Linked DNA regions of Danio rerio. The protein of the gene in region 2 interacts with the protein of the main gene of each other region in a biochemical or structural test. Links are inferred from orthologs where the notes say so. Each region holds a gene or a part of one and is shown on either strand. Other genes may lie near its edges. The genes, in order: atf3, ddit3 and fosab.

Region 1 (4,302 bases), on a different chromosome or scaffold from region 2:
TAAAAATGTTTTTTTTAAAAATTAAAAATGCTTTTATTCTACTCAAAATAAAACAAATAAGACTTTTTCCAGAAGAAAAAATACTATCAGACATACAGTAAAAATTTCCTTGCTCTGTTAAACATCATTTGTAAAATTAAAAAAACATTAATTAATTAAAGGGGCCTAATAATTCTGACTTCAACTGTAGATGTAATAGATATAATGTAATCAAATACAGTTAAAAATAGCAAAAAAGATCAATAATAAAAAATAACAGATATAATATATGTTCATATAAATGTTACGTTTTTTAATCAAATGCTAAATAACAAGTAATACCTTTTGTAAATTATCGGTTTTCTCCTTTTTCTTGTTCCGACATTTTGCTGCTGCAATTTTGTTTCTTTCCCTTCTTCTTTTCCTTCGGTCGTTCTCCTCTGGGACAGCCTGAAATAACAACATCTAACAATTTGGGAAAGCCAAACTACCTAAAATGCCCACAAGTGGATGAACAAGTGAATTGTGCAAGCATGGCTTTTCTACGTCCACGTTACTCAATATAACCAATGTGAAATATGAGAAATTACACTTAAAAAAAAAAAAAACATTTGTGCCAGTAAATGAGTGGGTCTTACCTCTCGCTTCATCCCAGGTAGTTCGGTGGGTCTCTCAGTGTTCATGCAGGCTCTGTCAGTGGTCAGGGTGCTCATGCCGTTGGACATGCGTTTGTTCTGGATGGCGTAGCGCAGCTCCTCTTTCACTAATGGAGTGAAGTTTGTGAAGTCGTCCAGCGTGAGGGAGCCGGGCGGAGAGAGACAGGGAACCAAAGCTGATGCACTGATCTCTGACGGACCCAAACCAGGGTGCTGAAGCATCATGCCGAAATCTAAAAAAATACAAAACAACAGTTAAATCATGATGTTAACGAGGAAAATGGTAAGATAGATAAATAAATAAACAAGTAAAAATGTTACACCTTTCTCTATAAAACTACTGAAATAACTGTGTTATAGTTAGAAAATGATTAAGAACATCAGATTTATAGAGTAAGACCCATTAATTAAATTGTAACAAAAACAACATTTAAAAATGATCATTAAATATTGTATTTTAGAAATAAAAGTGTTTAATTGCATAATGTTATAATTATATACCATCAGTTATAATTTGTTAATAATAATAAACTATATAAACAATAGTTATACAGTTATTGTAATTAAAATATATATTCCTTGTTAAATATTATTGTCATTTATGATATTTATATAAATATTACATTTAACAAGGTGATTAATATAATATTAAATTCATTAAATGATATGCATTTTAAAGTGATAAGTGATTTTAAGTAATAAGAGATTTTAAAGTGATAAAGTTTTGATTAAGGGAGAATATTGTAGTCACAAGTTCTTGTGTTGTTAAATTTTGTTATGTTACGTTTATGGTTTATGTTTTTAAAGTTTTTATATTATATTATATTATATTATATTATATTATATTATATTATATTATATTATATTATATTATATTATACAGACACAACTGGCTAATAAAAGGCTAGATATCATGAGCAGAAAGTAATTTGGCTAACAATTTTTACCACATGTCATTCTCAATCAATCTTACAATGACAACCGTAATTTAAAAGCTCCCAGCTTCCACAGCTGTCAATATATATATATTTTTTTACAGTGACGTATTATAGATGTTTTACTCTCTTTACACAGTATATCGCTTTTTTTGTCATAAACACTCATTTTAACACACTTTTTTGTTATTTTATGTGTATGACTAGACAGGAATACATAAAGTAACGACTAGCTAACAGAATAATCTAAACCCATCAAATATTAATGAACAATTTCATATTAATAATAATATTTTAAACATTTGACTGACAGGTTTGTAGTACAGTGTAAAATAGTAAAGTTATAATCTTTAACTATTTAATGAGTTGTATTCGTATCAATCGGTTTTAATCCTTTTTAAAGGAATAAATAATGTAAATAAACATTAACGTTACCATTCAATTATAGATAGAAACTGTACAACTTACAATTATTAAAGTGCAATCTTACTCGTTACATTATTACAGTATTTATAGGGGTTTTCATAGGTTCTGGCTACCACAGCTGTCAATATTTTGCTTTTACAATGACGTATTATAGACGTTTTGCTCTCTTTATACAGTATGCTATCGCTTTTTTTTGTCATAAACATTCATTTCAACAAACGTTTTGCTAATGTATGTGTACTACTGTACAAATACATTATAGCCTACAGTAACAACTCGCAAACAGAATAATCTAAACCATCAAATATTGATTAAGAACCTTATTAGTCCTAATATTTTAACATTTAAGTGACAGGTTTTCAATACAGAGTAGGCTATATGAAATCATAATCTTTAACTATTTCATGAGTTGTATTCGTGTTACACATTGTCGATGAAGTAAACTTACTGACGTAACATTGTCGGTTAAACAATTTGAAAACAGGAGAACTTAAATCAATCAGTTTTAATCCAATTTTAATAAATATCGAACAAATATTAACGCAAAAAAACAGTAATGCACATACATTATAGCTAAATAAAAGTTCGTTAAAAAAGAGTTCGTTAACTCAAACCTAAATACAATCGCTTGACCCATAAACGCAAAAATCTCCCTTTAGTAGCCCAAACCAAGCACACCATAGACGTTTTCCCACAGCGTGTTCCAGAATAGCGATGAATAGGAAATCTACAATGCCGTCTCTTACCTGGTTGTGTGTAAATAAATGTAGGCGCGTGTGTTTGTGATGCTCTCCTGATGCCGGACTGTTCTCGCGCTCAGCTGCTAAAGTTACAGTTGTCGCCGGCTCGTTGCATCACCCCTTTTTATGGCTGGAGGACGTGAACTACTACTAGGGGCGGGGCGAGTGACGTCACCCTATTTATAGCATCAGCGGCGCTGTCCTTTCGCGATGATGCAATCAGGCAACCCTCTCCGCCGCGCACCATAACTGGGCAAACTCCCGCCCTCCCTCACAATAGTGAAGCTGACGAGCTGGCATGTTAACCTAATGAGCAAATAAAGACATATACTCGTGTAATGACAGGCCATCTCTGGTATGCTCTAATGTCATGTGCCGAATAGTTTTGAAAAAAGAGATATGAGAAAGAGAGAGAGTTTGACTGACTGACTGACAGACTGTCTGCTTGGTTTGAAAGAGAGCATATAAAATCCCTCTTGGTCTGTTAAGTTAAAAACACTTAGCCTATGTTTTCTTGTTTATGTCTTTTTTTTATTAGTATTTTTATGAAGAGATGGAGAGATGAAGCCAAGGTCAGTGTGTATATGGCTGTTTTTTTAAAAGCTTTAAATTTGGTTTTAAATGTCCACTGGCTCAGGGAAAAAACAGCTTTGAATATCTTTTATGGCGTTTGAATTTAGTTGGTTTGTTTCTGACTGAATTTAGGATTTTATCATTTAATAATAATTTAATTATTGTTATGTAATATTGTAACATGACATTTAGAGGTTTTCAGTTTTTAGAGGGTTGAATATTTGAGTGTATTCAACTTTAAAAGTTTAATTCGATTTATTACACTTTATTTGAGCATCCTTGTTACTTTTAATTATACATTATATCAAGTACTGAGTAAAATTAATTTAAGGTTCATTTTATTTGCAAATAATTATGCATTTAATTTATTTTTAGGCATATTCTGTCTAAAAAGAACACTAAAACAAATCTATCTATAAATATTATCTATCTATCTATCTATCTATCTATCTATCTGTCTGTCTGTCTGTCTGTCTGTCTGTCTGTCTGTCTGTCTGTCTGTCTGTCTGTCTGTCTGTCTGTCTGTCTGTCTGTCTGTCTGTCTGTCTGTCTGTCTGTCTGTCTGTCTGTCTGTCTGTCTGTCTGTCTAAACTAATAAGTTGGTGGATATGAGTAAGTTTTTTTCTTAATTAGTTTTGGTACATCTAATATGTAACAAAACACTATAAAATAAAAGTTTGCTTAATAAATATATAGTAAAATTAGTGATAGGCTTGTTATCTTTCTCATGTTTTTCTATTTCACTTTCCTTTCAATTCAATATTTAACGCAGTGATTTGGTGATGTTTTAAGGGAGTGGGTCGTCAGCAGTGTCTGCATTCCTCTTTTCAATGTGAAGCACAGCTTTCTTGCCGTAGCTGTTCATTATTACACAGCCCAGTCCACACTCTTTCCTATGTGTTCTGGAAATTTCCAGTAATCTCTCCTCACCGTCCTGGTGCAATCACCAATAAAACACTCCTTTATTACATACATTTGTGCTTGGACACTAAA
Region 2 (4,164 bases):
TTCACGCTCTCCACAAGAAGAATTTCCTCCGATTGTTGGCGTCCCCTTCTTCTCTACATGTCCTCCTGTTGCTCATTCACCTGCGGGTGTTGACCAGTCTTTCGATAAGCGCCCGCCGCGTCCTCTGCACCTCCTCGCCCAGTCGCTCGATCTCGGCTTTCAGCCGCTCGTTTTGATCCGTCAGCTCCTGCACTTTCCTTTCATTCTCCTGTTCGCGCTCTCTGCGGCTCTTTTTCCCAGGGGATGCAGAGCAAAGTGCGCCGCCTCGTTTTCTTTTGCGTGAGGAGGAGACGGGTGGAGATGCCGGCGGGGAGCAGTTTAGAGAAGGCGAACGGGACGCTGAGGAGCAGGATGATGTGTCGGGAACCGTCGGGAGCTCCTCCTCTTCGCTGGCGGCTGGAGATGGAGGTGCATGCAGGTGATACCCAGCGCCTCCGTTTACCATGGTGTCACCAACACCACCTTCGCTGAGGAGTTCGAAAAACTCCGGCGGAAGGAGATCTCCGGATGAGGTGTTCTCCGTGGTTCGTTCTTCTTGCCTTGGTGGCGATTGGTGAACGGGCGGATCTTCGGTGACCCGTTGCACCCCGTCGCCCCATACCTGCCCTTCGGTCAACCAGGTGAGCGAACAGCTCTCCAAAACATCCAAAAACTCAGGCTCCTTCTGCATGACAAAAGAAATCGTTAGTAAACGTAGGGAAAGTTAAACGTATTTTGAACGATTCCAGACGCTACTGACCTCTGAAGAAGGCGGGGCTCTTGTAAGTTTGGCCCCGCCCGTGTCGGAGCCCAGTATATCCTGTAGGTCTTCATACCACGCCTCCAACTCTGCACCACACAGCGGCCCCACGCCAGGGGGGTACAGCCACTCCGCAGTCATCGCACCAATCAGTCGCTATCCACAGACACAATACGACACGCTCCCACTCCTAGCACACCAGACCTGACCGGCGACACCACAAATCAATCAACTGTGCTGAAGAAGCGGCAAGAAAAAAACCTCCGATGCGTCTTGAGCGCAGCGCAGCGTACAGCTGAGAGAGGTTTGGGGAGTACGCGCTTTATCTGGGTGACCCGTTATTATTATACACGACATTAAGATTGACTGCTCGGCCACTGTGTGAAATAAGGACACATAGTGGCCGAACATCGTCACTGCATAACAACAAACAAACAAACAAACAAACAAGCCCTGGAGATTCACAAGCATGCATGAACACTGGGAGTTTTGTGTGTCCCTTAACTTTATTAACCATGTTTAGTGTTGCTTATTAAACTCCTTTCACATCACTGTGTTTGAATGAATCAAGTAAAGTGCTCACCTTATAAAGAGACTCTTGTCAATCAAGTTTGAATGTGAGTTGTTGGCGATATTTTGTCCCAATAACTCTAGAAAATAAACAAAAAATGAAAGAGCTCAAGCCACAGTTCATGGTTACCAAAAGTATTTAATAAAAGAATATGAAACATAAATGCATGTTTAGGTCATCTGTGAAACAAACACAAACAGGAAAGCCAGCAAAAAGAACAATGAAGTGGTATAAAGCATAGAGATAAAGGAACCCGAGTGTGTATTCAGCAATGCTTAAATGATTGTAAAGTTAATAATAACGCATAGCAGTTATGGATTCTTTAATGTGGAAAGTGAAATTAGGTCATTGTGTTTTTTTATGTAAACAAAGGCGCATTGTGTGCTCGAGGGCGCCCTCTGCGCGTGCACGCACAAACACACACACGCACAAACTGTCCGTCAAAACAAGCCGGATCAGCCTCACTCTCAGCCGGGTTTATTCACAAGATCAGCTGGAAGAACAGCGCAGACACAACACACACACACACACACACACTGCACAGCTAACAGAGGACTTCAGAAGTGAGTGCGAGACAATGAAAGCGGAGCCAACACACACCCGCGGCACTCCACTGTTGTTTTTATTTATAGAGATCATCATAAACTAAACATTATGGTTTTATTATGTATTAAAATATGATAAATAAGAAATGTCACGCCTTGTGTTTGTTGTCTTTTGGATTTAAAGTTACTCAGTGAATGAATCGAGTAGTTTAAATAACGACAGGAGGATCGACGCATTCCAGTGTAATGGAGCTCGTGTGTCGGTCTGGGAGCCGGATTGAGTGTTGTTGTTAATTGTGCGCATCTGGAGCGGGGTTTACGAAACTGACAGCGAGCCAATGACGTCATGGAATCAAAGTACAGGACTGAGGAAACAAAGGGCGACACTTCGACGCGAACTCGCACTTTAAAAGTACTTCAGCGATTTAAAAACGCGACGAGATCTGCGTCGCGACCACGTCGGCGTGATTTCGCGATCTGTGAAAAGTTGATGTCGCGCAGTTTTCGCTGACAGGAGTGCGGGAGGCGATCGGAAGAAGTAATAATGATACGAGTTCATATGAAGGCGTTCGCGGAAAAAAAGTTGTCGCGTGTCCGTCAGAAATAGCGAGACTGTACAGTTATGACAGCTGTCACGGCGCAGTTTTGAAGAAAGAGTTACTGATGGAGTAAATGTTTATAAAAGAATAGGATAAAACTAATAATGAAATAGAAATAAAACATGTCCAGTGAAACTCGAGATGAGCAACTGTAGTCCAAAAACAGCTCAGGAGTCGCCAAAACATGCGCGCTCCCGTTTTCCAGAAGAGGAAAAACATCTTGACGGAAAACAGCAAGAAAAGTCCAGAAGATCACAGTAAAGAGCAGAGAATAATAGAGATGACACTCACCCTTTTCTTTTTATTGTTTCTTTTCCTCGGCTGCTTCTGATTCAGGGTCTGTGTGTGTTTTTGTAGAGATGGCTGATCGCTCATGTTAACCATTGTTCAGCTGAAGTCACCGAGTGTGGATTTCGGAAACTCCCGGGGACATTTATAGAGAGACTCCAACCGAACTCCGGGGGAAGGATCTTGAGGCGCAACCTAACGCAAATCACGAGGAACTGACAGGAGATGGTCGGCCGCCTGGTCCAATGAGGCTGGGCGGTGGACATTCTTCTGCTTAGAGACATCCAATGAGCATCCGCGCTGAGCGCGGGGGGCGGGACTCTGCGACTCTGCTGGTTGTCTCGCTCTGCGCGGGTTCGGTTGAGCCGCAGATGTGATGCAGTCATAAGACGGCCAGGACGAATTTGGGGCGTAAGGGAGTCACATGAAAGGAATGATGCAATCGTTGGCAACCGGTTTCTAGTCGGAGATAAGACTAGCAGAGCCCGAGCATGTTTTATTAAACAACCTTTCGTTAAAGAGAAAAAAAGAAAACTGACGAACCGCCTTATAAGGGTGTAGGAAAATCTCTCCATTTCTGCTGGCGTTCGCATATGCGCCTGTAGAAATAGGCGACGGTAATATCCGTGTGATATTCAACACATTTGTTCACACTTTTTTCATCTTTAATAATCCCTCTCTGGTGACCTGAGGCGATTCTTTCATGTTTCCTATGGAATCAGGATCTTCCATAGGAGTTTGAGGATCCTCCACCCCACCCGAGCCACGCGGAAGAGCCCGAGCTCAACACACACACACACACACACACACACACACACTCAGTCTATAAAACAAAACTATATGACCGCTGTTATGCTTCAACACAGCCGTTTAGTGTCATTAAATGAGCCCATAAAGTGACGTTGAGATGGTAAAGGTCAGAATCTGGTTCAGAGATTAGTCTCCAGCAGATTAGGTTTTAATCTGTGTTCGGGTGTTTTCCCCAACATGGACCCTATAGCCTAGTTAGGTCACTCAAAGAGTTGATATTTCAGTATATCATAATTATTTTAACATATTATTGGAATATACTGGTGTTCAAAATATAAACTCTATATTTGTAAAGATAAAAATATCAAATACATTTGGTCTTCAAAATATAAAATTGAACATGTTTCCAATGGGTCAAAGATGGTGTAATTTTCATAAAGTGTATTCGTTATCATTTTATAACATCTACTTAAGACTAGTCTTAGTGTATACACACACACACAAACACACACACACACACACACAAACACACACATATATACGAGATATATCAGAAGACAAAAACTCCACTCAGATTTCCCTTGTATTGACACTTAGATAAAACCCTGGGACTGACTTTACATACACATTACGGTGCCTCTGTTTAATATCATAAAACATTTGACTACATGA
Region 3 (4,063 bases), on a different chromosome or scaffold from region 2:
GATATGTGGCCGGCTGGAGGTGCGATATGCACATCAATATAGCAGCGTTTTTTAATGACACTCTATAACAATAATTAATATCTTTACAGTACTGTGATTGTTAGGTTTGGTTGGGGGTGGGTATTAAAAAATAAAATGTATTGGGTAATTTAATAGATAGCTTTCCCAGGAATGGGTTGCAGCTGGAAGGGCATTCGCTGCATAAAAACGTGCTGGATAAGTTGGCGGTTCATTCCGCTGTGGCGACCCCAAATTAATAAAGGGGCTAAGCCGACAAGAAAATGAATGAATTATTTTAACAGATAGCATAAGTAATACTCCATACATCGACTGTTTTTACATTACTGTGATAGTTGGGGTGGGGGAAGCCGTTAATAGAATACAATTAATAGGAAATTTAATAAATAATATAAATCTCGCTAACATCCGGCCGCAACCATATGTGATCTATAGATGATTAACCATGTGGATGGACGATAACAGCCTTCTCAGTCTACTTAGTTAACTTCCATCCTCAACCGTATTTGATCTAGCAACAAATGTGCAGTGTTGGTTGTCCTTCAGGAACATGGTTGGGAAACACTGCTGTAAACTGTATTTTCAAGCCACACAATAAGCTCGCATTCACACAAATCTTTTAGTTTATACATTTAATATTTATTGTGTCTAGTTTTTTTTGTTTGTTTTTTGCAAACAATTCGCAAGTTCACATTTCAGTACAAAAATAAAAACTCCATAAATTAAAAGAGAGACTACGTTTTCACAGAAAACTTCATACTTGGACGTCAGACCATTTAATGCAATGGTTAGGCAGCACACATTTGAGTAAACAACATTCACACGTTCAGAAATCAACCGTTAAACGGCCGAAAAAAAATAACATGATAGTTCTCTATTGCTCAGAACACACTAAATACAACAAATCTAGCACCGGTAAACTCAGAAAAATAACTATATTAGGTTAACTCAACACTAACCAGATCATTAATGCAAATAAAATCAGTTGATCCATGCTTATCTTGCTACATGTGGCAGGCATGTATGGTTCAGATAAATATAGGAAGCAATATCCATTGCTTTAGAGTCACTTCCATAGCCCTGCAATGCCATTCGAAATCAAGTCACAGATATAAATACTAATAGTCTTTAGTGGAATCTCAAAGAGTGAGGAGGGTTGGGGAATTCAAGGAGTCGGACGACTGATCGTTGCTGCTGCTGCCCCTGCGATGCACTGATGTCGGGAAGACGTCGTTTTCTGGGTAGGTGAACATGAAGGAAGACGTGTAGGTGGTGCAGGCTGGAGTGCAGGTGACGACGGGTGTGCAAAGCGGCTCCAGGTCAGTGTTAGCCGGCGTGTAGAGCGGCTCCCAGTCTTGAGTGTACAGAGAGTTGGACAGGTCCATGTCTGGAACCGAGCGAGCCGTTTCCAGCTCCGCTTTAGCCAGGAGCTCCAGAGACTCCTCTAGAGTGGGCTCCAGATCAGAGATCTTCACTGTGGTGGAGCTGAAGCTGTCGGTGGAGGCCGTGCTGGAGAACAGCAGGCTGCTGGAAGAGGTCGTGATTGATGTGTTTGGTGTGGAAGAGACCACTGAGGTAGTGACGATCTCTGGGACTGAGATGGAGCCCATGGGAGAGGAGGACGGCTCTGGGAAGCTGGCGTCGGCCGGGATCTTGCAGATGGGTTTGTGTGCGGCGAGGATGAACTCTAACCTCTCTTTTTCTTTGAGCAGGTTGGCGATGTCGTTCTGCAGGGCGGATTTTTCATCCTCAAGCTGGTCAGTTTCCTGTTGTGGAACATCAAAGGGTTAGTTTAATGATGTCATGGATGGAACGAGCTAGAATGGGATTTGGAGGGAAAATGCAGAATACTTACAGCTTGCAGTGTATCGGTGAGTTCACGTCGACGGTTGCGGCATTTCGCAGCAGCCATCTTGTTTCGTTCACGACGTACTCTTTTCTTCTCTTCTTCTTCTGGAGAAAGCTGCAGAAGCACAAAAATAAGGGTGTTTTAGCATTGGCAAATTAACATTCAAAATGTAGATTGTCAGTTGTTTGTCAGTTGATTTTAAAACAAAAGTTAATTGCAAATTATTTACCTGTTCAGATCTGCTTCTCTTGTTGGAGGTCTTTGCTCCAGTAACCCTCATTTTGGGGTAAGAGCTCGGGTTGTAGGATTGAGCTGCGCCGTTGGAGGGCGCCACAGAGGAGATCATGGGCTGGACCATCCACTGCAAGTCCGGGCATGAAGAGATCGCCGTGACAGTTGGCACGAAAGAGGCACTTGAGACACTCAGATCCGTGAACTCCTGAAATATAGAATATGAAATCGTTTATTATATGATAAACAATATATTTTGATTAGTCACAAAACTAATATATATACAATTTATTTGTTTATATTACTGTTTATGGGGTTTCATTCAGATTATAACATAATACAGAACATAATATACTTTAAAAACATAAATAAACTGACTTAAATCATGATTTATCTGAAATGATCATTCTAAATATATTGCTGTCATGTAAATACCTGAGTCTGGTTGAGCGGGTAATACCCGACGCTGTCGCCGCTCGGTGAAGCCGTGCTGCACCGGGAAGACGCGTCGCAGTCGGCGTTAAGGCTGGTAAACATCATCCTGTCAAAAGTCGAAAAGCACGAGCTATCCAGCGCTAATATATCCAGAAAGTTAAAAACGCTCCGGTCTTGTATTTCCTTGCTCGTCTGCTGCTCTTTTCTCTGTTTTGGTATCCAAAGTTTGACTGCCGCTCCACAGCGCTCGCGGGGTTTATATCCAGATCTGTGCCTGACGTCAAAGGGAGGGGCGTGGCCATGTGCGTTCAGTGTTTGCATAGAAACGTTAAAAACACGTCTTCGCGAGCGCATTTTACTGAATACATTATCGAAACATTAATAATGCAAGAATACACGCTTAATACGTAAGATTTTATCTTTAAAAACATTCGCATGTTGTTATTTCTGGGTGAAACGGAGTGAAAGAGACGATGTTCCGTAGCAGGGTATCCCAAGACGTCATTTAACTTATATGGAAAACATCCTGAAGAGGCGGAGTGCTTATGGGAAATACTCTGTGCAAGTGAGCAGCATTATGTAAAGATAGTTCGAGAAGATTTCAATGTTTTACAAGTAAATAAATAAATAAAAACAGCATTTAACAGAATATACTTATTATATCAGCTCTAAATGTATTTTTATTATAGTTTATGAACTTGATTTAATGACTTTATATTATTTTCTTGACACAATCATTTGATCAAAATTGAATATGTCTTTTTAAGTACATATCACGTCCATGCTGTGTTTACATGGCACCTGTTGTCCTAGATTTCATCATTTCTGTGCAGAAGTATTCAAAGTCTTTCATGCCCCGGGCTGTGTTCGTACCTTTGGGTGTATAAAGGGCGTGTCGACTCATAAACCACGTATTTCCAGTGTGAACTGCCTTCACACGGTTAACGAGGGATTCCTTTGTAACAAAATGCTGAGCTCATTTATTTCCTCAGCCTATTGCATCACAGTAAATAATAATAATGCAAGATTTGTAGTAGTCTAAATGTGTTAAATCTGCTATATTCAATACATTTTTCAATATATACGTTATAGTATATTTAATAAAATATATGAATCACTATATTATGTATTAAAATCATCTACATCAGTTCAATCATGTTTATTTAGGGACCATTTTTGTATTGCTCATCATTAATTGTCCGTATTTATACGTTTATCATGTATAAAAGTCTTCGTTTATTACTTGTCTGCCGTTGGCTACGGGCAAACATGAGGTTTGTTATTGATTAACAAGCGAAAACAGCTCTATCAGCGTTCCCATGTGACGTCACTGATCCACTTCTCTGCTCGTGTTTTGTTTGATCTTCCGCGTTGTCTAAGCGACGCCCCTCCCACTGTCGTCACTGCAACACGAGCCTGTGCAAATGAACTCTGAAGTTTCACCTTTCAGCAGCGAGAGTCTGCTTTGTGTATTGCCGGTAAATAAACACGCCGCTTTGATTGTGTATACTTTACGGGTAGCAAAAAACT

Evidence for each region.
Region 1: the proteins of ddit3 (region 2) and atf3 form a complex in vitro, tested with the Homo sapiens proteins (2 studies listed by BioGRID and IntAct, with this or other methods). The link is inferred for Danio rerio from reciprocal best matches to the Homo sapiens genes DDIT3 and ATF3.
Region 3: the proteins of ddit3 (region 2) and fosab form a complex in vitro, tested with the Homo sapiens proteins (2 studies listed by BioGRID and IntAct, with this or other methods). The link is inferred for Danio rerio from reciprocal best matches to the Homo sapiens genes DDIT3 and FOS.

What each region holds. Positions count from the first base shown.
Region 1 is NC_133195.1:41,075,755-41,080,056, reverse strand, and holds the start of atf3 (cyclic AMP-dependent transcription factor ATF-3), read right to left. Parts: upstream 2,834-4,302; 5' UTR 2,743-2,833; intron 869-2,742; 5' UTR 861-868; coding exon 618-860; intron 471-617; coding exon of another isoform or gene 430-470; coding exon 322-429; intron 1-321.
Region 2 is NC_133181.1:61,712,240-61,716,403, reverse strand, and holds the start of ddit3 (DNA damage-inducible transcript 3 protein), read right to left. Parts: upstream 2,863-4,164; 5' UTR 2,746-2,862; intron 1,390-2,745; 5' UTR 1,323-1,389; intron 944-1,322; 5' UTR 881-943; coding exon 740-880; intron 665-739; coding exon 77-664; 3' UTR 1-76. UniProt on the Homo sapiens protein: Multifunctional transcription factor in endoplasmic reticulum (ER) stress response. Plays an essential role in the response to a wide variety of cell stresses and induces cell cycle arrest and apoptosis in response to ER stress.
Region 3 is NC_133195.1:49,905,981-49,910,043, forward strand, and holds fosab (v-fos FBJ murine osteosarcoma viral oncogene homolog Ab), read right to left. Parts: upstream 2,750-4,063; 5' UTR 2,639-2,749; coding exon 2,534-2,638; intron 2,307-2,533; coding exon 2,097-2,306; intron 1,982-2,096; coding exon 1,874-1,981; intron 1,785-1,873; coding exon 1,158-1,784; 3' UTR 636-1,157; downstream 1-635. UniProt on the Homo sapiens protein: Nuclear phosphoprotein which forms a tight but non-covalently linked complex with the JUN/AP-1 transcription factor. In the heterodimer, FOS and JUN/AP-1 basic regions each seems to interact with symmetrical DNA half sites.